3 linked regions of the Drosophila melanogaster genome follow. The protein of the gene in region 2 interacts with the protein of the main gene of each other region in a pairwise test. Each region holds a gene or a part of one and is shown on either strand. Other genes may lie near its edges. The genes, in order: CG13494, CG5021 and CG14042.

Region 1 (6,482 bases), on a different chromosome or scaffold from region 2:
GCAACATATGCAAGTGGATATTGCTCTATTTTCAAGTGGGATTCCATTATAATATTGTTGTAAGTAGCGCAAAGGAAGGGCCTGCAGTACAGTGAAAAGAGGGGATACATTCGAATATATGCAAATCGGAGGGCTCGGTCGCGTTGACACTTTGTGACTCGAAATTTATTGGCATGTGCGGGCAGACAGAGCCGCATTTCGAAGGCAAAGATACTTTCGCAGACACCTCCTACTCAGCTATTTGATCCGAAATCGAAATCCACACATGACCAAACATTTAAATGTAATTGCACATATTTAAATTCAATGGGCCCCGTGCCAAAATATTGGAGCATTCAATTTATTACCGCCGTCGTTCGATTGCCAAGCAAATGGGGAATGGCCGATTGATGGGCGTTGTTTGGAATCCATTTAATAGCTCCTAAAAGGCGCTAATTATTTAACCACATAAATCAGGGCGAATTTATTGGCCAGAGTTGGCCCGCGAAAAAACCAATCATTTCGAGTTAGCAAAGGAAAAAGGAAAATTAAGTCAATTGTAGCCCTTCGCATGCCAGCAATACATTGTAGTCAGCAGACGAAGGACTTTAGTAGGAACTAGCCAGGTTTACCAATTTGAACTCTAATGTTAATTCTACAACATTAATATTCAGTGAATCCTGGGTCAGTAGCGTCAGCTTATCGATTTCAGTACTCTAGAAAGTCCAAGATCCTGTCTGGCCGGCAAACAAATAAAAATGGTCATGCAATATTAATATTTATGCACAAATATTGGGACTAGGGAAAGGGAGTACAAGTTTGCTTTATCTAAGTGAAATGCTAAAAGATTGATGACTTTGGCGCTGGGCTTGCCCATAGTGTGTGCCTGTATGTGTGAGTGAGTTTCTGCCACACTTATAAGAATTTATGGCAATCGAGGGCGAGCGAAACGCTGCGTATACGCAATATTTATATTTATGTATTATGAATCAATGCGAAAGGGCCGGCCAAGGCAATAAGAACAGGAGAAAAAAATGAAACGAGTATAAAAGATGCGCACTAAAACAAAAGGATAACAATAACTTTTCGCAGGATGCGTGACGTGGTAAGCAGGGCAAAAATAAGAGAAATCGAGGGAAATCCAAGCTTCTGGCCGGGGAAAAGTAAATGGTTTTGCAGACCTGCAGAGAAAGGTCCATTGGGGCGGATTATGAGTAAGATGCTCTCGATTCGCCCCCCCCCCCCAAAAAAAAAAATAAAGAACAGCGCACAGAGCCAAGTCATAAAAATTGCATGAAAATGGGGCCGGCAAATTCGGCCGCCTCATCCACCGACTCATATGTGCGGGGATTATCTGCCGGATGGGATACGCCGGGAATCCAAGTGCTTGTCTTGTTTATTTGTTTGGCTTTTACGCCAAAAATTATACTATTACAATCAAGTTTACGATTGCGATTCGCTGCCCCCGTTGAGTGCCAATGAATGCGATGATGGCAGGATACGAACATGATCATTGCCATTGCGTTTGTTCCTGATGATGATGATGATTGGTTGGGAATACACATAAATTCAGCTGCGTACGATTTTCATTGGGGACGGATATCTGACCATTTGGGACTTTTCGACTAGGAAGTCATATTTGCCGGAAGATGATTTTCTTTACATTCGCATCTATTCAAGTGGAAAGATAGCCTTAACTTGCTATAAATCCATTTCTTAGATTTAAATAGTTTCTGAAAATATATTTAGTGTAGTGAAGACGCCTGTTTAGTATTCAGTTTTACCCCGAGATGGAATCGCAGACAGATGAGCCTAGTCCTTCCGCCTTTCAACGCGTTGCCCTGCAACTCATCCTTCGTCGAATTCTAATGTGCAAGTTGACTTTGTGCAATCGCGCATTGCATGCCACGCAGTTACCCCTCAGCCCGCAGCCAAAAGCTCTTAACCCCCTGAGGATCCTCAGCCGTTCGAGGGATGCGGCAACTACACGGAGGCACCAACCGCAGCAACAACAAGGACAACGCCTGCGACAGGATATGGCAAGTGGGCAACTTTGGAGCGGGCGAGTTTAAATTGCCAGAGCTAAAAGGGTTGCCAGCAACAACGCCGTGAAAAACGTAACTTTTTTCTGCTTTCCCCTACGATTTCATTCCTTCTTTTTTCAGAAAACATCGACAAGCGGCGCTTTTGACTGCCATTACCCACATTGCCACCCCTCGCAGCTTGTTTTTTGTGGCACAAAACTTTGCACTTTGACATGCAGCCACGTGTGCCATGATGCTATATGTTAAAGGTGTGTATGTGTGTGTGTGTGTGAGTGAGTTTGCAGGTGTGGGTGAATGCATGTCTGAGTGTGGGTGTCAGTGTGAGGCAGTGAATTGAATGAGCTTTCAATGCTGCCACCGCCAATTGGCCGACAAACGTGTCTAATAGTTCCCAATTGCAATCACTGATTTGTGATTCAGAACGAGAAGTGGATTTTTACTTTCCCGGTGAGTATATTATCAGGAGTTGTTTGATCAACCTTTAGTTACTTAACACAATGTTCAGTGTTTAATTATGGTTGAAGTCCAACGCAGTTTATATTTATTATGCACGAAACAGATAGATATCTGAAAAAATATATATTCATTTCGCTGTTTATCGAAGAGCTTCCTTTTGTTTTTTGCATTAAGTTGTTGACTCATTTTCTTAATTTTCTCTGTGGAGTAATCAGCGCACAAAATACAGTCATTATAATCAACGACCTCTTGGTACAGTAAACAGCTCCCTATAACGAACCCAGGCGCACACGTGCGCACACTTGAAAAAAATCTTTCTACTCGCATGAATATTTTAAAGCTCGCATCACATTCAAATTATGATAATGATGGCGTGAGGCGAGGGTGTGTTTTTTGCATATGAGTTAAAGTGGGGGTGTTTCGCAGAGTGGGTGTTTGGAGCGCTAACGAGCGCAGGTACACACAGGAGCTCAGGGACAGCTCCCCAGATCCCCGTTCGAGGACCACCCCTCTCTGCCAACCCAATCCCAGTTCCACCCGCAAAATGCTTTCGTTAATGCATTTCATTAATTATTATACAATTCGAATGGGCATTGTATGACGGGTGGTGTGTTCGTGGGTTTAATGAGTACTTTTGTGGAAAGGATTTTAAGTGCGATTGATCGTTAGAAGTCGCTTCGTGTGGAAGCGTGACGAATGCACCTATGCCCATAAGCTTCTTTGCTTTTGTCTTTCGTAGATGGGGAACTTGAATATATTTAAAACCAAATATGATGCTAAATTGAAAGTGGGCACATATGAAAATTGTGCTGAAGGAGTCTTTGAATACACACTCAACTTTGCTGTCTGAATTTTTGTAATTTATTCTAATTTACAATAAGCTAAACGTTAAACATTTCAATACCGTCAACAAGTGATTAATCATGGATGACACATTATCAACGGTAGAAGGCGGGATGACGGAAACATCCTCATGGAGCACCACGATCGCCACCACCACCACTACAGAGGCCGCCAAGGCGGGTAGCATGGCTGTCGGTATTATTGTCCTGATCGTTGTTATGGTGCTCCTCTGCTGCCTGCTCATCATCTGCCTGCCGCTCCTCTGCCTGTGCGGCTGTTGCGGACTCGCCTGCTCCGCGTGCCTCGCTTGCGACGAAGGATGTTGTGGTGAAGGCGGCGGCGGTGGATGTTGCGGCGATGACGGCGGTGGATGTTGCGGCGATGGCGGCGGGTGTGGCGATTGTGGCGACGGCTGTGGGGACTGCACCTTGGACGATGATTAATTCGGCGATAATTCAAGTTTCTATTAATATGTACGTAGTGCTAGGATATGCGATTCGAAAGCCTATAAATTTAATGTGCTCAGGTACAGATTCGTTAGGAGCATCCGTATGCTCATTGGCAAAATTGTTGTCTATTCATAAAAAATAAAAAAATCTAGCTTAATTTTGAAATGATATCTATTAACTTAATATATGGCAACCAAAAATCAAATTTAAAGTACAAAAAAATATCGACTTCAGTAAGCTGCGACTGTACTCTTAAAATTAAAAAAAAATCTATACCCAAAATAAAATTTCTGAAGGGTCAGGGTCATCGAAATTCTTAAGCTGCTATGCAAGGAACGGTGAGAAGCATTCGTTAATTTAATGTGATTTTCCTTATACATATTTCCTTCCATTTAGAGGGTTCAATCTATTATCGAAAGCAACAAAATTTGCAATTTATTTCCCATAAGCTATGGCCGAGTTGGATGCTACAACCCTATCTGAATACGATATTGAATATATAGACTTTAACATGACAACTGTGGCGTACCGTACAACCACTGGACACCCGGATACTAACCTAGGTGCTTGGGGACTTTTGTTCATATTCGTCGTAATTTTTCTTATCATTGCTGCCTGCTGTGCTTGTATGGGTGTTCTCGTCCTTTTTGGTTGTATGAAGTCCTTTCTCTGTTTTCGCTGTAGACGCCGAGGCGACGAGTTTATAGGAAGGGAACCCTGACTGTCGTTGAAATTCTGTCATTAAAACTGAAACTTGTGCTAATAAAATTATATGTTTTGTATGAATCGAAGTCCAAAGGAATTATTTTGCCGACAAATTAATGCGGTCCTGCCAAATTACGGCAGAGTAATTGGAAAAGGATGTACTGAAGTTCAATATAACATTAACCAAACATAATTCTAAGGAGAAACGTCAGGACTTACCAGATTCCTGGACAAGTGGCATCTACCAGTAGAGAATCCTTGGCCAAAGTGCCAGTGTGACAAATGTAAACCGATTAGCCACAGCTGGGGCCGATTATCAGATGGCCCAAAGAAAATAGCCCAGGCCCTACAGAAAATGCCTCAGGTCAGGAATTTCCAGAGCTTTCTCTGCGGACTGTGGACTATGGACTGAGTGCATAAATTCCTGGCATCTCCTGCAGCTGCAGGAAAGACACAAAACACTCGCCCAAGTCCAAGTCGTAAATGCACTCAGCACTTTGTCAGCTCTCAGACAGGAAATGCAGTTGCCATTTTTCTTTCATCCCAGCAAATCCCGTTCACCTCCTGCCTTTGGCCCCCGCCCGGAAAGTCGTTCTGCAACTGTCTACATTTTTCACTTGCCATCCATAAAAAGTATCAGTTTTAGTTTCAGTTTTAGTCCTCGCTTGGCTAAAAGTCTCGTATGTCTTTTGCCTGTCTGTTGGCTCTGTTGTTTTGCTGTCTCAATTTCGCCAACGCTTCCATATTCAGTTTCATAATTTTTACCCAAGTTTATCATCCTCTTTGCCAGGCATGACAAAGTTTTCATTGCCGTCGACACAGGGCCTGGAAAAAGTTTCCTCCAGCTGTGAAGTGCATTAAACAATGCCCTCATACATGATCCGAGTGATGAGGAAGGGGACGTGCTGTGCTAAAATTGCATTTATCGAGGGGGAGTAAGTGCAAGGACACAAAAGGATAATAGCTTCGATGCACTTTCTTACTGCCAGGCGTTGGTACATGTTCAATTTACAAATGCTATGAATACGTTTTCTTTTATAAAGAACATCCACTTTCTAGCCAAGGAACTGCTTAACATAGCAATAATAAATATTACTAAAATACATTCTTAATGCAAATTCAAACTTCGTTCTTATATTGCTTTCATTGATAATACCTCAAGGTCATGGCCGGTTATATTTAAACCACAAACATTCTCTTGCTCCACCCACCCATAAATAATGTTTATAACTCTTCTTATCACTAAACGGCATATCGTATTGCCTAACAATTCGTTCACCCGGGCCGCCGCACTCTAATCTCTGAAATTTCCCAGCCATTTGACGAATTCCCTCAGCTTCTCCAATCTTCGGGGTCCGCCACGAGTCAAGATTTTCCTCCACCTGCGCTCCACAGCCAAACGATCCTCCCTGTCTATGGACTCCAGGTGCTTCCTCAACTTCCGGTATATCAGCTTCTGAAGCTGGGATGTCCGGGTCTGAACCGTGCGCTTCCATCGATCGAATCCGTTGCGCTGCAAGCAAAGCGCAATCAACTGGGTCTCGATACTGGAAGTTCTCAGTGGATCTCCCGTGGTATCCGAATCTAGATAGTCCTCAATCACGCCATAGAAGGCATTTAGCTTCTGCTCCGTTTTATTCGCATTTACGGCAGTGAAGGCATCGAAGCGATCCAAGTAGCCCAACAGAATGGAGTTCTGCGAGTCCAAGACGATCAGATCTTCCACCACATAGTCCACCAGCTCGATTGCCTGGGAAACTAGCTGAGTGCTGATTGTTTGCAGAGCGTAATCTGATTGCAAATACAACCGATAGCGACTTCGATCTCCATAGGTATTGATCAAAGAAGGGGTCAGCTGGAATAATATGAAAGCATTTATATTCAAGCCATAGTTAGTATGAATTGAGTGTTATAAAATGTTAATTAACCAAGCTACACATGTTGGATGATTTATTGCTGTAAAGCTTTTGTTCTGATTTTAAATGTACAGTTGTATGTTTTAATT
Region 2 (7,206 bases):
TATCGTTAAATTTTATTCTTGGCAAGAATGGCCTAACTTACCTCTAAACTGGCGCCCTGAACCACCTGCTGTGGGGCCACGATGTTGCCGATACTCTTGGACATCTTCCGGCCATGAGCATCGCACACAATGCCGTTTAGCAAAATTCTCTGAAAGGGTGCCTCGCCGGTCAGCTTCAGACCCAACATCATCATGCGCGCCACCCAAAAGAAGATAATATCATGGCCAGTCTGCATTATGTCCAAAGGATATCTTTCTTTGTAGCTCTCCTCTGGCCAACCGGCTGTGGAGAAAGGCAGCAGCGATGATGAAAACCAAGTGTCCAGTACATCCGGATCACGTTTCAATGTAAATTCTTCGCTACCAATAAGTCTCATGGCTTTCTGCCTAGCTGTCTTCTCGTCAAGGGCAGCCACCCATTGACTGTTTCCCTGGGAGTCGATGACCTCGTATGCGGGCACCTGATGCCCCCACCACAACTGCCGGGAAATGCACCAGTCGCGGCTATCCTGTAGCCAGCGTTCCCACTCCGTTTCGAAGTTCGGAGGCAGGATTTGCAGACGTCCACTATGAAGTTCAGATAAGGCATCCTTTGCCAAGTCTTTGCACTTAAGAAACCATTGCGGCAATATCATGTACTCTATGACGTCCTTGGAACGCGAGCAGATGGGCAACTGCATGGTATGAGAGCGCACCTGTCGCAGCAAATCCATCTCTTCCAGGCGATTGACGATGAGATCTCGCGCCTCGAAGCGCGGAATACCCTTGTACTCAGAATAGGCATCCACCACAAGACCCGTTTCAGTAAAGACCTGGCGAGGTTCAAGCTTATGGCGAGTGGCCAGCTCGAAATCAAATTTGTCATGGGCTGGTGTGATTTTCACTGCCCCGGTGCCAAACTCCTGGTCCACGGTGATATCGAAAACGAGTGGAATGGTGTCGTCACGGAAAGGATGCTTGAGCTTAACCTGATCAATGTTTCGGTACTTGGCGTAGCGCGGATCCAGCGGATGTACTGCGACAGCTACATCACCCAAAATTGTCTCTGGTCTAGTGGTAGACACCACAATCTCTTCAACCGAACCATCGGGCAGTGCTTCACCATCCACTACGTGATAGGCGAAATCGTACATTCTGCCAAAGAGTACTTTGTGATCGTAGCCTGGAACGGATATCTCTACCGGCTCCGTGATCTCTACACTGTCCACCTCGATATCAGATATCGCGGAACGTAGAGCGGTGCACCAGTTGACAACCGAGTTGCGCCGCTGAATTAGGCCTTCTTCAAAGAGTCGCTCGAAAGCTACGTTGACCGCATGCGCCTGCTGCTCATCCATTGTGAAGTATTCTCGTTGCCAATTCAGTTTACAGCCGAGTTGGCGGAGATCCTGTACGATACCAGCACCCTTTTCCGCCTTCCAGCGCCATACTTCGTCCAGAAAAGCAGAACGTCCCAATTCATGACGGGTTTTCGCCTGAGAAGCGGCAATCGTGCGCTCTACGACCACCTGGGTGGCGATACCCGCGTGATCTGTGCCTGGTACCCAGTCCACCTGGTAGCCAAGCTGTTCGCGCTGGCGGGCAATCACATCCTGCACGGTGGCCATCAGTGCATGGCCCAAATGTAGATTCCCGGTTACATTTGGTGGCGGTAGAAGCATGCGATAGGTCCCCCGCTTGCAACTGCTGGCTGAAGCCTTGGGCAAATTTGCCTGGCGATGCTCCCGCTCCCAGTAAGCATTTTCCACTGGTTGTGGCTGGTATCCTGCTGCCAAGGGAAGCTCATTAGCCGCATCTAAAAGTGGAAAAAAGTGAGTTCTTTAGCCGGCACTGGGGTTTTGAATGAAACTGGAGGTAACGCACCTTTAAGGGTACTGTAGTATAGAGAGTACACCCTTGGCTGGCACAGGTACTTGTGTCTGAGCAGTTTACTGCTACAATTCCCAATTATTTGCATTTTTAATGTTGTGTTATGTTATGTCAAAAAAAATTGTAATCTTATTGGTGATGGTATAAAAACAGCTGAGGAGATAATCGATATACGGCTTATGGGCGCCAATTTCAAACGAGAAACGGTAGAGCTTTCCTCCTCAATTTTTTTTCAAACTTCATTATTTATTTGATTTGTCAAAAGAGAAACATAAAACATCTCAGAGGGTACGTATGTGAATATCAGGATCCAATGTAATTTTTTTTAATTTATAAAAGAGAACAATTTTATTAAGAAACCATAAAGAAAAGTACGATAAAAAAATATATTTTTCAGGCACTGACACTGCATGAGGTGTAATGATCAATGAGCCGGTCTGCCTCCCGATAGCCCGCCTCCACAGCTCCGTGAACGGTGGAAAAGTGATTCCTGCTAGACGCTTCTCCGGCAAAAAGGAGGCCTAAATGACCATCTTCGCCCAACACAGGAGACTCTAGATCCCAGGGGCCCGTATTCCTTTCATCGGCCATAACTCCACGATAACTCCAACTGCCACGGAAATTCGGATTCGAAAACCACGAGCTGCGAACGAAACGCTTTGGCGGCGGAATTTCGAAAGTGAGGAACTTTCGGAAAAGCCAGTACAAGCCCTCAAGGACTTTCTCATCGGACAGGGTCTCCATGTGGCGTCCATGCGGACCATTCACCCAGGCCATCAACATTCGGGGCTGACAAGTGATCATGTGTACACCGGTTATACCCTCCACCCAGAAATATTCCGTCTTTCGCAGCTCTATCAGATCCTCTTCCAGCCAAAAGCAGAAGAAACCCACCCAGCCGTCAGGAAGAGGTTGCTTCTCATACTCCAAATACAGTTTGTTCACAGTGCCCAGGGTGAGGCTGCGAATGGCATTCACCTTGGCTGCGGGCAGCGGCGGGACGAACAGTTTCTCGTGCTGCTCCTGCAGGACTCCCAGGGAAACGGTGCAGATGACGTGGTCCGCCTCGAAGTAATCCCCATCCTGGCAGCGCAGGATTACCTTACGGGGGCACGCCAACTCAATCTTGATGACCTTCATATCAAGTTGAATACGTCCTTCCAGTAGACCCAGCTCTTCTGGCGTATCCGCGCTGACCTTCATCAGCAGCCGCAGGAAGCGCCGGTAACCCTTCGTTCCCCAGTGGAGCAGCTTGTCGCCATCACATTCGTGGTACTCGATGTGTTCCCTAACGGAGACCTCGAAAAGATTGTCCGCACCAATAATAGAGCTTTCATGCTTCGCAAATGTATTCAAGGCCTCACTAGCCACATCCCTATTCACTTGGGGTAGCTCGGACTCGATCTTGCGCCAGAAGGTCTGAGTCAGGTGGGTGCCAAAGGATCCCACAACCGGGTGAGGTCCACTCGGCATGCTCTTCACAGCAATGTCGTGAATCCTGCAGGCCAACTCATGTGGAACCACCTCCTTGTTGGATCTCACCCTCTTTATGGGACTGTAATAGTCGCCTGTCTCGTGCAGGATACCCATATCCTTGACCATGTCGTATACACAATTTTGCTGCTTTCCATGACACCACTGGGCTCCCAAATCGATGACGTTGTCACCAAAATACACGGTGTTGATCCGCCCGCCAATGCGATCCTCCGCCTCCAGGATCTGAACATTCTGGAAATTGTTTTGCAGGAGTCGAGTGGCGGCGGCTATGCCCGAAACTCCTGCTCCGATTATGATTATCCTAGAGGAGGCACGGCATTTTTCCATTTTGAAACGTTGGTAGTTAAGTTCGACAGAAAGAGCAGACGATCAACGAGCTACTGATGAAGTTTGTGGGCTAACTTGGCAAGTGATGGATGCTGCATTTCAATGGCTTCCACTGCGGTTGGAGTACAACTTTTTGCACACTCTGCTGGTTTTCAGCCACAACCATGTAACATTGAGAATCCGGGTCACAGAACATAAAAGTCGTCTTAGATAATATTGCTTCGGCTTTTATTACTTAATATGATGCGTAAAAAATTATGTTTCATAAATAACTTAAAAGTGGCATTTTTTTCTCATTTGGCGCTGCTATTGCAAATAACAATTCCACAAACAAAATGAAGGGGAGCTCAATAAAAAATGTTTGCAAAATTTTCAAATACGATAGGTTTAAGCTCGATTACTTATGGTGCTGCCAACCCAATCGAAGTCGAAGAAGTGCTTCACCCCTGCGAGCTATCGACTCAGTGCGAAAACGATAGAAGGCTACGCAGGCAGAAACAACAACAACGTCCCAGGCGAAGAAAATATATTAAATCCCCTGAAAAACCACGAAAATCCATGAAAATTGCACCCAACTAGGAATTAGAAGTCACTCCCTACACCAGCATGGCATCCGCTACGGTAAGAAATGTATGTATGCCGCACTAACACCTAACAAGCTGCTTGATTGGGGTGCCATTCTGACAATACGATCCGAGGTTTTCCACGAAAACTCATATTTTACAACGAGGCAAGCCAAACTAATCCCACATACGTGTTACACAGGTGCCGCTGCTCGACGATGACACGATACCCTTTGGCGAGGAGGACGAGATGCGGGATCCCAGTCGCGCGGGTCAGAAATACACGTATGCAGAACCATAATGTTTGTTGATCAATTCCATTTACCCCAACCCAACCCAACGCGTGTACTCCACAGGCACCCGTACGTCACCTTCTTCCACCTGTTCTTCAGGGGCGCCGCCATCCTGATCTATATGTTCTGCGGTTGGTTCAGCGACTCCTTCATCACCAGCTTCGTTTTCGTGGTGCTCTTCCTGTCCGCCGACTTCTGGACGGTGAAGAACATCTCGGGCAGATTGCTGGTCGGTCTCCGCTGGTGGAACTACGTCGACGACGATGGCGTATCGCACTGGGTGTTTGAGTCAAAGAACGTGAGTCACGAGCATAGCTAACTAGATTGCCCTTGATAATGAAACGCAGTCTGAATCCTACCAGAGTCGGGTCAACAAGAACGAGCAGCGCATCTTCTGGCTGGGACTCATCCTCTGTCCCGTCTTCTGGGGCCTCTTCTTCCTGTTCGCCCTATTCGGCCTGAAGTTCAAATGGCTACTGCTGGTAATGATCGCCATTGCGCTGAATGCCGCCAATCTGTATGGCTACGTCAAGTGTAACTATGGTGCCAATAAGGATCTGAATTCCGCCGCCACAGACTTTGTGAAAACGCAGTTCTTCAAGAATGCCGTGGACATCATGACAAGGCCCAGTGGCGCCCCACCGCCAACAAATGTACGCCCGACGGGAGTCGTTTGAGCTGGTGGAGACGCCATCTACTAAGTCACCTTGCCACCGTCTGCTGCAGCGCATTCCAAAGAGTATTCGACGCTTCTTCTGGCGCGGACCACGACCTTCGATTGGCATCGCTGTCTGTGTACCATATGTAAAACTTAATTTAGCCATACTGCAATCTACCATAATCATTTCTTACTTTTACTCGGATTAAAGGACCGCATGTGCGTGTGACATGCAACCAGTATGCCACATGGTTTTATTTCGAATGGTTTAACTACAAATTTAAGAATAGTTATTAAAAGGGATTCAGATATAGCGAAATGTGTTTTATTTTTATTCTCTGCATCTTAATCTGAGTACGAAAGACGTGAAGCAAATAATTTTCATTACTGTTAGATTACTATAAATTATTTAGTTTATTTTCTTTTTTGTCATTTTAGTTTCATATATGAAACTGTCGTAAACATATATTTAAAAATGAAGCGTAAATATAATCATTCCTGCAAAACTAAACTAAATGAAATTGCAAAACAATTTAAAAATATTTTTACATATTAAAAAACCTGATAATTTTTTAGTTCTTTGTTAGTGGCAATAACGGTTCATAGGCAAAACGCAGTGTGGTAGTGGACGCCACAACAAAGCTTTCCGGCTCAGTGAGCGACGGGCACACTGGCACAAAGCACAAAACAGAACAGTCGGTCGGAAACGGAATCGAAAAGAAAGAAAGAAATGCAATCTGTGCCGTAAGCGGGGGCGTGGAACAAAAGTTTTTGCAGCCCGGAACGAGTTTCATTGTTAGCTGCAGAGCAGCAGTGCCGTAAGTCCGCCAAATCCCCGCCAGAACCGGTGACGTACGCACTGCTGTGGGTTCAAAAAAGGGGACTCGAAAGGCGGGATAACCGTGGCGAAGAAGGGCGGAGGTGGAAGGCGGCGTCGACAGAAGCAATCAAGTGGCAACAGGAGATAGCCGGGGCAAAATGCAAAAAGTTAATTAGTGGGGGCCAAATCAAATCGGACACCCCGCCGAGGGCGACACCATGGAATTCGCCGACCTTATAAAGACCCCCAAGCTGGACGGTGTCCTGCTGCACGACCCATCGAATGCGGGGGCGTCGGGTGCAACAGTTGGCACACTGTGCATCACAGGGCACCATTTGCTGCTCAGCGCCCGCCAGGAAACCAGCCAGGAGCTATGGGTAAGTGGGTTGAGGCCTGCCCACCTAATCCGATGTGCTTCGGCATCAGTGGAGCGCTCATAATTGAATTAGAAATTCATCATGCTCATCCCCCTCTTTTCAGTTGCTCCACAAGAACATCGACTGTGTGGAGAAGAAGCCTAGTTTGTCGCAGAATATCGTGGTCGGTGGGATTATCACCCTGAAGTGCAAGGACCTGCGCATCATTTCGTTGGAGATAAAGTGCGGCAAGGAGTTCTTCAACGTGGCCGCATCGCTGGAGGCACTCAGTGCCATCCAGAACACCGAACTGCTCTATCCATTCTTCTACCGGCCCATGTACTCGATCCTAGAGGACGGCTACACGATGTTTAGGTGGGTACACGGCTTCTCCATAACTAACAAATTGGCTACAATTCAATTAACCTCCCCATCCAAACGACAGGCCCGAGCTGGAGTTCGCCAAACTCATAAGCGGGGTTGGCATGGGCGGTGCGTCCTCGCCGAATGTGGCCAACATAACAATTTGCATGCCATCAACTTCGACATCGACGTTGACTGTGGGCGCCGGCATTCCCCATCCTCTGCAAAATGGCTATGCGATAGAAGCCCTTGCGTGTGGTGTTGGTGGTGTGGGAGGTGGTGCGCTTCAAAGTCCCCAGGCCTCCTGCGAGTGGCGCATCACCAACGTCAACAGAGACTTCAGCGTCTGTGCCACATATGGCGCCACGCTAATTGTACCTAAAGCAATTACGGACGAGCAGATAGTGCTCTCCGCTGCGTTCCGCGATGGCGGCCGCTTCCCCGTGCTCAGCTACAGGCA
Region 3 (9,088 bases), on a different chromosome or scaffold from region 2:
GCTCCTGGTGCTGTTGGCTATCCTGGTGATCGCGGTGACAAGGGAGAGCCTGGTCTATCTGGTCTGCCCGGACTCAAGGGTGAGACTGGACCCGTTGGACTGCAGGGCTTCACCGGTGCTCCTGGCCCTAAGGGTGAGCGCGGTATTCGTGGTCAGCCCGGTCTTCCGGCCACCGTTCCCGACATCCGTGGTGATAAGGGATCCCAGGGCGAGCGCGGCTACACTGGCGAGAAGGGCGAGCAAGGCGAACGAGGCTTGACTGGTCCTGCTGGCGTCGCTGGAGCAAAGGGAGATCGCGGATTGCAGGGACCACCAGGTGCAAGCGGATTGAACGGCATTCCCGGAGCCAAGGGAGACATTGGTCCAAGAGGCGAGATCGGTTATCCAGGAGTTACCATTAAGGGCGAGAAGGGTCTGCCCGGTCGCCCAGGCAGAAACGGACGTCAAGGTGAGTTTGTGATCCCATATTTGTATTTACACAATTGGTTCATATAACCATGTCACCAATCAACGTTATTTAACCCATTCAGGTCTTATTGGAGCACCCGGCTTAATTGGAGAACGTGGTCTGCCTGGCTTGGCCGGAGAGCCCGGCCTCGTGGGCCTGCCTGGACCCATTGGACCAGCTGGCAGCAAGGGAGAGCGTGGTCTCGCCGGCAGTCCCGGACAACCAGGACAGGATGGCTTCCCCGGCGCACCTGGATTGAAGGGAGATACTGGACCGCAGGGCTTTAAGGGCGAACGTGGTCTGAATGGCTTCGAGGGACAAAAGGGAGACAAGGGTGACCGAGGACTCCAAGGACCGTCTGGACTGCCCGGCTTGGTTGGACAGAAGGGAGATACCGGCTACCCTGGCTTAAATGGAAACGATGGACCTGTCGGAGCTCCTGGCGAGCGCGGCTTCACCGGGCCCAAGGGACGCGATGGACGCGACGGAACACCAGGTCTGCCTGGACAGAAGGGTGAACCAGGAATGCTGCCACCACCAGGACCCAAGGGCGAACCTGGTCAGCCGGGACGCAATGGACCTAAGGGAGAGCCCGGACGTCCGGGAGAGCGTGGCTTGATTGGCATCCAGGGTGAGCGTGGCGAAAAGGGTGAGCGCGGCCTGATCGGTGAGACTGGTAACGTGGGACGACCCGGACCCAAGGGAGATCGCGGAGAGCCAGGCGAGAGGGGATATGAGGGCGCCATTGGTTTGATCGGCCAGAAGGGTGAGCCCGGTGCTCCAGCCCCCGCTGCTCTGGACTATCTCACCGGTATCCTGATTACGCGACACAGTCAATCGGAAACGGTGCCCGCTTGCTCGGCTGGACACACGGAACTGTGGACGGGTTACTCCCTGTTGTACGTCGATGGCAATGACTATGCCCACAACCAGGACCTTGGATCCCCCGGATCCTGTGTGCCACGCTTCTCAACGCTGCCCGTACTGTCGTGTGGTCAGAATAACGTCTGCAACTACGCCTCCAGAAATGACAAGACCTTCTGGCTGACAACCAACGCCGCCATTCCGATGATGCCCGTTGAAAACATCGAGATCCGCCAGTACATCTCACGTTGCGTCGTTTGTGAGGCGCCGGCTAATGTGATCGCCGTGCACAGTCAAACGATAGAGGTGCCCGACTGTCCGAATGGCTGGGAGGGTCTCTGGATTGGCTACAGTTTCCTCATGGTGAGTATCGGAACACTTATAACGTTAGATTATAGAAGAATGATGAGAGTTTTCAAAATCCACAAGGGATGCGTTTCCGAAGTTTCCCTAGCTTTCCAGCAGATGGCGCACGTTCCAACGACACTCTTGCGCCATCTGTTGGATACTGCGTAGCGAAAGATTTGATACAATAGTTTTAATTTTCAACCTTTATTCCTAACTACTTGTGGGATTTTAAATAGTTCTTTTATAATGATGCTAATATTAACCCAACCATTTCCTATAATAGCACACTGCCGTGGGCAACGGTGGCGGTGGACAGGCGCTGCAATCGCCTGGCTCCTGTTTGGAGGACTTCCGTGCAACGCCCTTCATCGAGTGCAACGGCGCCAAGGGCACGTGCCACTTCTATGAGACGATGACAAGCTTCTGGATGTACAACCTGGAGTCCTCACAGCCGTTCGAGAGGCCACAGCAGCAGACGATCAAGGCCGGCGAGCGGCAGTCGCATGTGTCCAGGTGCCAGGTGTGCATGAAGAACTCCTCGTAGGACCTCCAATCCCAACACAGACACACCCACAGCACAGAGCATAAGTTTAATCTAAATGTAAAGCCTTAAAATTACCAACGAATCGTGTGCACACCCACACGATCACAACACAAACACAAACAAACAAACCAACACACACACACACATACATACACCGACGAACCAACACTGCTACAAATTCCTTAATCTAACCAAAAAGAAAAAAAAACGGATCCACAAGTCGAAGTGCTAATTACCGACCGACCTGGACCACAATGCCATTTTTTATCTGCCAATTAATGTTCTAAACAAATGTAAACTGCTTCTAAGTTACGTTACGTATGTTAAGTAAATGAAACAAATAAATAAACTAGCCTCGGTCGTATGTCCAAAAGTATAAAATAAACTATGTGCCAGCATGTTCCATTTATTTTTGAAACCGATTAAATGCGAAACAATGCAACAAAACGCGGTATCGAACGAATATCGAACGAATCGAATCCTCAACTGCTATACAAAACTTGTCGCATATCGTTTTAAAATAAACTAAAATTTATAAATACAAATTACGACCACAATTTCATACAAGCCTATTTAGAGCAAATATTGTTGAGGATAAAAAATCGTATGCCCTTCAGTGATAAACTTCCTGCAAGACAAATACTGCATACTTTTTACCCCTAACATTGAGTGATAAGATCTTCCTCAAAAGACCAGGGCTAAGGGTAGGCTATTGTGGTGGAAACCCCGTCGCGGAGAACCCTTAAAAAAGCAATGCCAAGCCAAGGATGAGAGCGAACTCACCTCGTGCACTTGTGCGCATGCCATTGCCTCTCTTTGTGCGGATTTGCGGTGGGGGAGGGGGTTGGTTAGCTGTCAAGGGGGTGGCGATGACGATTGGGGTCGCCGTGGACGGTTTGCGGGGCATAAAGTGGGGTGGACCGAGCCATATGATAATGATATGCAGACACACACACGCGCACAAAGTCCAATTGGTGGTTGGAAGCAGGTCGTGGAAAATAAGGGTAGGCCTTTGTGGGGCGATTCAAGTTGGAATCGTAAAAGTGAGTTGGAAAAAAAGTGCCAGAAGCCAGTGTGACTTGGACGCAAGCGGAGGCGGTCGTCGGTGGGAGTTGTAACTTCAGCCAGATAAGAGGAGCTGCTTTTTGTAGGTGTGGAGGAGCAGCAAGACGGAAAAAATGTGTGTACCTCGAAAAAAAAAACAGTGAAAATTGCGAGCTCTCGTTTGGAAAGCAGCGTGAAATTTGCATAAACTAACAAGACCACAAAGCCAACGGGAAGTGCACCACCAAAATCAGAGACTCCCAAGAAGCAGCAGTCTTCCGCCCCACCAAAAAAAAAAAAAAAAAAAAGGAAGAGGACACACCACCACCCCTACATATTTATGATTATCGTCCTGCTGCTGCTGTTCCAATCGCTGTGCCTCTACTGCCAACGCCTGGTGCTCTACGTCCACGACCGATGCTTCCCGAGGAACGTGCGCCTGCTGCAGGAGGTGGCCGAAACGGTGGGCGATCGTAAGGCGCCACAGCGCCTGGCGGAGCAGCAGCTGGAGCAACAGAAGCGCAGCCAGAAGCGTCGCATCCTCGAACCAATCCTTCCGCTCGTTGGTGGCCTCAATTCCGAGGCCTGTCGATTTTGTGCTCACAGTCCGCAGGGCTACTGTCGCCATCACTTCCATCTGCAGGAGCTGCAGCTGCACAGGCAGAGGGGTTCCGGTGGTGAGCAGGATTTCCGGCAGATTCGCCGAATCAAGCGGGAGCTAAAGCGGACTCTTGGCCAGCAGCAGCAGCAACTGCAACCGACGAGAAGCTATCGTCCAGTCCGACTGAGTGCCAGCTGGAGCAGCAGTTCCCTGAGCAGTGGTTACGCTTCACTGACCAGCGTTGGATCGCAGGAGCAGGAGGAGGCGTCCTTCGATCAGGATATTATTGAGGACGTTCCACTGGAGGAGGAAGCGGAGCTGCAGGACCTGCCGCAGGAGGATATCCAACAGCCCCTACTAACCACTTACTTGTAGATAAACGCCTCTTGGTCTCATCCTTGCATAAAGAATCATCCACTTGGAGTTCGTCTGGAGAACTGAAGAACCCTTCATAAAAACTATGCTATAAAGATGTATTGAAAAAAATTGTATAACATAGTTAACCACCAGAGAAACGAAAGAACAAACAACTACGAGCTAAAGACGCCACCCCTGAAGCCGCTCCTTGAACGATTTCAACAACTTTTGAGACCTGGAGAAGCTCATCAACCCCAGGAAGCCAACCCTATTGAAAACTTAACCCCCCCCCCCCCTCCCAACAGTTCGAAGGGTTCCCTTTGTCAAATTGATACAAATTGAGAAGCGAAAAAATTTCTAGTCGCAACACAATGTCTGATGTTGAAGTGGATCCACAGCAGGCTCACCCCCATCCCATAGCGGCAATTGCCCCGAGGAGACGTCGTCCAACCGGTCGACGAGGAGGAGTAACAGGAGGGTTGTCGTCCGGTTCACTGGATGCATCATCTTCCACATCGCCGCCACCCCGTTTCTGTCCGCTGCCCAATGGCGTTGAGGATAACTGGACGTGGAGCAAGCGGCACCGCTCCAAGGAAGTGGTGCTCAGAGGACCCAACTCGCGGACCGTGCACTTCCATCCCAACTGGAGCAAGGGCACTGCCGGTGTCCAGGGCAAAAGATCCCTGAATAACGGACGGCATTACTGGGAGCTTCATGTCTCGCAGCGCGTCTTTGGCACCTCGATAATGTTCGGTATCGGTACCAAGTCGGCACGGCTACATGCCAACGCCTTCCGGAACATGCTGGGCGAGAACGAACACGGCTGGGGACTGTCCCACAAGGGCGTGCTCTGGCACGAGGGCGTGGCCCTGCTGTACACGAAGCGGTTCCGCGAGAATCAACCCACCCAAATTGGCGTTCTCTTCGATGGCATTGAGGGCACACTCACCTTCTACAAGGATGGCAAGTGCCTGGGCGTTGCTTTCCGCGGATTGGATCAGGTGAGTCCGGTTGAATTGTTCAATCCTCCAAGGATCAGGCTCTAGAATCTCGCCTAACTGCCCAACAGATTGATGAGCCCCTGTACCCCATCGTATGCTCTACTGCCGCCAAAACGGAGATGACCCTAAAGTGCACCAGGAGGGAGTTCGTCAACCTACAGGATCGCTGTCGGGCGGTGATCATGCGCCGCGTACGAAGCGCTGCGCAGCTGGAGAAGCTGAAGCTGCCGCTGCCCATCGCCGACTATCTGAGCGAGGTGATCGACGAGAAGAAGCCACTGCGTCAGGTAGACAACTACGATATACTGTGTGATTTGTAGAGCTCGGATCGTGTCCGGTCAACGTAAGCTAAGTTTATAGAGTACGTCCTCGCCCCCAGGTGAATCAGCTGGAGATGTGCATTATGAATTACGATTTGTATGAGGCCCGTGAATGATTTTAGTGCCATCACATATTGGAGTGCCCAATGACTACCAGACGATGCAGTGGCTCCTCTGGGACGTGTGCATTTCTCGTAGTAGCTTTAGAGCGTGCTAAGTTTAAGCATTCGGAATTTGTGTGGATAATAGTCGTCCGACCTTTTGATTTGTCTTCATTTGTAGCGAAAATGTGGGAAAATAGGCCAATTTGGTGCAATATTTGTGATATAAGAAATGAGAAAAACGTTTTTCGGGGCTTCAAGTGCTTGCTAGAAAATCGCAAAATAATCTAGAGCTAAGCATATTTTTCGGTACAGACGAGTGTGAAATCTAGTCAAAAAGAACACGCTGCTAAACTAATTTTGTAAATTCGCAGACAGCAATTAAGGCCTAAGTACTGTAATGTAACAAAATGAAAATGTGTCTAGTCATAAATTGCATATAAAGCAAAGTGTAATTTAGTAAAAATTATTTAGTACGCTTTATGTAGATTTTTGTTTCTGTTTATATAAATTACTACACATAATGTAATTGATACATGACGAAACAAACGAAATAGTATTGAAAATTAAATTCGTAAGAAGTGCTCAAAAGAATTTGGCGATATTGATTTGCAATTGTCACTTGAATTTACATAAATAAACATAAATTTACTAACTATTTAAACGAAATACAATACTAAGCACAGGTTCACTATAGCACGATGGGGCTTTGAATGGCATCTAGAGCTCGTCGGAGAGATGGTTAATGTTTTGTAAATGGTCGCCGTAGTCGGTGGCCTCACTGCCCACAAAGGTATCGTAGTTGTTGAGTATTTCCAGGTAGGACAGGCGATCGTCGTGATCCTCATCGGTGGAGACAAAGAGATGGTCCACCTCGTCGTTGGCAATTGCCGTATTGCTTGGCACAATCCAGGATAAGACCTCATCGCCCGTCAGCACGCCATCGCCATTGGAGTCGTGATCCTTGTCGAAGCGCTCCTTCTCCGTGATCAGCCACTCCTTGTCGTGGTGCGAGGCTGCGTCGCCGACAAACTCCTGGAAGTTGATCTTGCCATCGTGATCCGCATCTTTGTCCTGCATCGTGTGCTCCAGCAGTATTGGCAACATTTGTGGATGCTCCTCGGGATTTTGGAATAAAACGAATTCCTCCAGCGTCAGCACACCATCCTTGTTCGTGTCGGCCGCATTGAACATCTCCTTGTCCTGCTTGATCATCTTCTGCTCATCCTCGTAGCTGTCGTAGTCGATGGTCTCCTTCTTGAAGTCCTCATCCTCCATGGCGTATGTGTCCTGGAGATACTCCTTCCACGTAATTCTCTCGTCCGCATCCTGGTCTATTTCTTCAAATCGATCAGCGGCTTCTTCCTCCGACAGTTTTCTGCAAGTTGTATTATGTATTTTAGTAAAAGCTTCAAATAGTCTATGCGTTTTCAGTTTAGGCAAGCATTTAGACAAAGCATTAGGTTGCTGAGGTGATTATTGGCTTGGCTAACATTGATGCAGTATTAATCAACAGACAACACTCACTTAAAGGACCTTAATATCCAGGCTTTCAACTCATGCCGGTCAATAAATTCGTCCTTATTCAGATCCATCATTTTGATCAATATCAACAGTCGTCGCTTCGATTCGTCTGGCGAAAGTGAGTCGAATTCCTGAGCCTCTTTCGTGTTGCCTTTTTTGTGGTTAAAGAGTAATAATAGCACACACATACATTAGCATTTAAAACTGAATGGAACATAAAACAGCAGCAATGCCATTGACGTATTGCTTTTAGAAAACAATTTTAATGATTTCACTATAAAACTATACAAACTTATATACTTCAATAATACATTTTCTTACAGCATATTCCAATTCATTAGTAAACTATATTTCGACCTTCAAGCAATATTTTTGAGCATAAATGGGTATGTGTATTGACTGATCCGTATTCTCTTGATGCTTGAATGAGTCTTTCCGTGTGCAGACCCACAAAAATAAACCTCAGGCAAGTAAACAAACATATGGCATACACCATAGCATACACAAAAAAAAAGTATGAGTCCTTTTCATAACTAAAATAATACAAAATTATGGTCAATACTCATAATTTCATTGGGTTGGAAAGTATCCTTAAAATAAACTTTTATATTTCTACAAATTAACAACTGAAACTGGAAATTCTATTGTTGTTCTGGCAAAAAAACGTGATTATATTTTATTTGCTTTTCAGGAAATGAGCACTACTTTTATGACCTTCATTGTAAGGAGTCTTTTTCGCTCTTTTCAAAGTGATTTTCTCAAACTGAATATGATCTGCTTTCTCTGCTAACTAGCGCTGACTCACCGATGATGGCCTCGTGATCGAACTCCACGTTGTGCTCCCCATCCTCGCCGTGGTGGTGGGCATCCCGGGGAGCGTAGATGCCGTCCTTGACCCGCTCCTTGCTAAGGTGCTTCTCGTGCTTGTGACTGTTGGCCACCGCCCCATGGGCGGGCATGGGACCCACGGCGGCCAGCAAGGCGACGGCACAGAGGGTCAGCGGGAGGAGCGGCAGATTCCTAGGCATTTTAATTGATTATGCCAAGCGGCGTGTTCTTTGGTCTTTGTTTTCTCTTTTTTTTTGGCAGCTTCCCGAGTTCTCGAGTGGATGGGGGGGATGATGTTCCGGCGGAGGAGGGAGACCGGATGGACGCACACGTAATGCCCAACAGCACAATGAACTCAGTTCACCTTTCGCCTGCTTCTGAAATATGCAAATGTCAGTAAAAAACCGACAACAAAAAAAAACTATTTTTTGAATTTTAAATAATCACCGACAGCTGTTGTCTTCGCTTGCCTTGCCAATATTTCGCTGACCACAACTGTTTACCTAACCACACAGCCCTTCAGTCACACGTGCATATTATGGGCATGGAAATTAATTTATTTACCTATACATATTAATACATGTTCACATAAAAATTCGTTTATTTATTTGCGTACACCAAAGAAACGAAAATGCAGACAATGTGACCGTCAGCGAAAAATAAATGTTAGCCCATCGATTTTTGGGTTTAGCATCTGTGCAGCCCTGGTGTTTCCACGCCCTACCAACACTGCCCACCTTGCTGTTAACTTTACAGCAGTGTTTGCTACGCGCCAGCCCTGACTTACATTACGAGGAATAAAAGAAAATAAATTGCACAAATTGGCGAAAAGCGCATTATTGCTAAACTAAAGCCTCGTTAATTTAGCAGGTGAGCTCTTAAAGAGAAAAACACCAACACAGTGCTGTGCAGGTTAAAAGCAACAAGGAAAAAAGCTGAAAACATCTAAAAAAAAAGTGGGCGAACGAAGTTGATTAAATTCAAATGACATCATTTTGCGACAGCTGTGTGGCATAAAAATCATTTGGAGCCGCGCGTTTATTTATTTCGAAATTTGATCATAATTCACGTTCATTTTGTGTGCCCCAAACACGCAAAGGACACTTGA

What was found.
Region 1: the proteins of CG5021 (region 2) and CG13494 interact in a two-hybrid assay, tested with the Drosophila melanogaster proteins (one large-scale study listed by BioGRID).
Region 3: the proteins of CG5021 (region 2) and CG14042 interact in a two-hybrid assay, tested with the Drosophila melanogaster proteins (one large-scale study listed by BioGRID).

Annotation. Positions count from the first base shown.
Region 1 is NT_033778.4:21,951,694-21,958,175, reverse strand, and holds CG13494 (uncharacterized protein), read left to right. Parts: upstream 1-3,330; 5' UTR 3,331-3,403; coding exon 3,404-3,766; 3' UTR 3,767-3,934; downstream 3,935-6,482. Other genes in the region: CG43405 (uncharacterized protein), read left to right, coding at 4,224-4,493; CG13488 (uncharacterized protein), read right to left, coding at 5,772-6,332, 6,406-6,482.
Region 2 is NT_037436.4:8,962,670-8,969,875, forward strand, and holds CG5021 (uncharacterized protein), read left to right. Parts: upstream 1-4,159; 5' UTR 4,160-4,299; coding exon 4,300-4,323; intron 4,324-4,458; coding exon 4,459-4,541; intron 4,542-4,612; coding exon 4,613-4,847; intron 4,848-4,896; coding exon 4,897-5,226; 3' UTR 5,227-5,502; downstream 5,503-7,206. Other genes in the region: ValRS-m (Valyl-tRNA synthetase, mitochondrial), read right to left, coding at 42-1,795, 1,864-1,957; CG5653 (uncharacterized protein), read right to left, coding at 2,263-3,693; CG5026 (uncharacterized protein), read left to right, coding at 6,246-6,404, 6,508-6,758, 6,829-7,206.
Region 3 is NT_033779.5:5,034,534-5,043,621, forward strand, and holds CG14042 (uncharacterized protein), read left to right. Parts: upstream 1-3,175; 5' UTR 3,176-3,588; coding exon 3,589-4,224; 3' UTR 4,225-4,577; coding exon of another isoform or gene 4,578-5,207; intron 5,208-5,275; coding exon of another isoform or gene 5,276-5,527; 3' UTR 5,528-5,586; coding exon of another isoform or gene 5,587-5,643; 3' UTR 5,644-6,285; downstream 6,286-9,088. Other genes in the region: Col4a1 (collagen type IV alpha 1), read left to right, coding at 1-448, 531-1,675, 1,944-2,204; SP555, read left to right, coding at 4,578-5,207, 5,276-5,494, 5,587-5,643; CG31650 (uncharacterized protein), read right to left, coding at 6,349-7,006, 7,156-7,303, 7,958-8,180.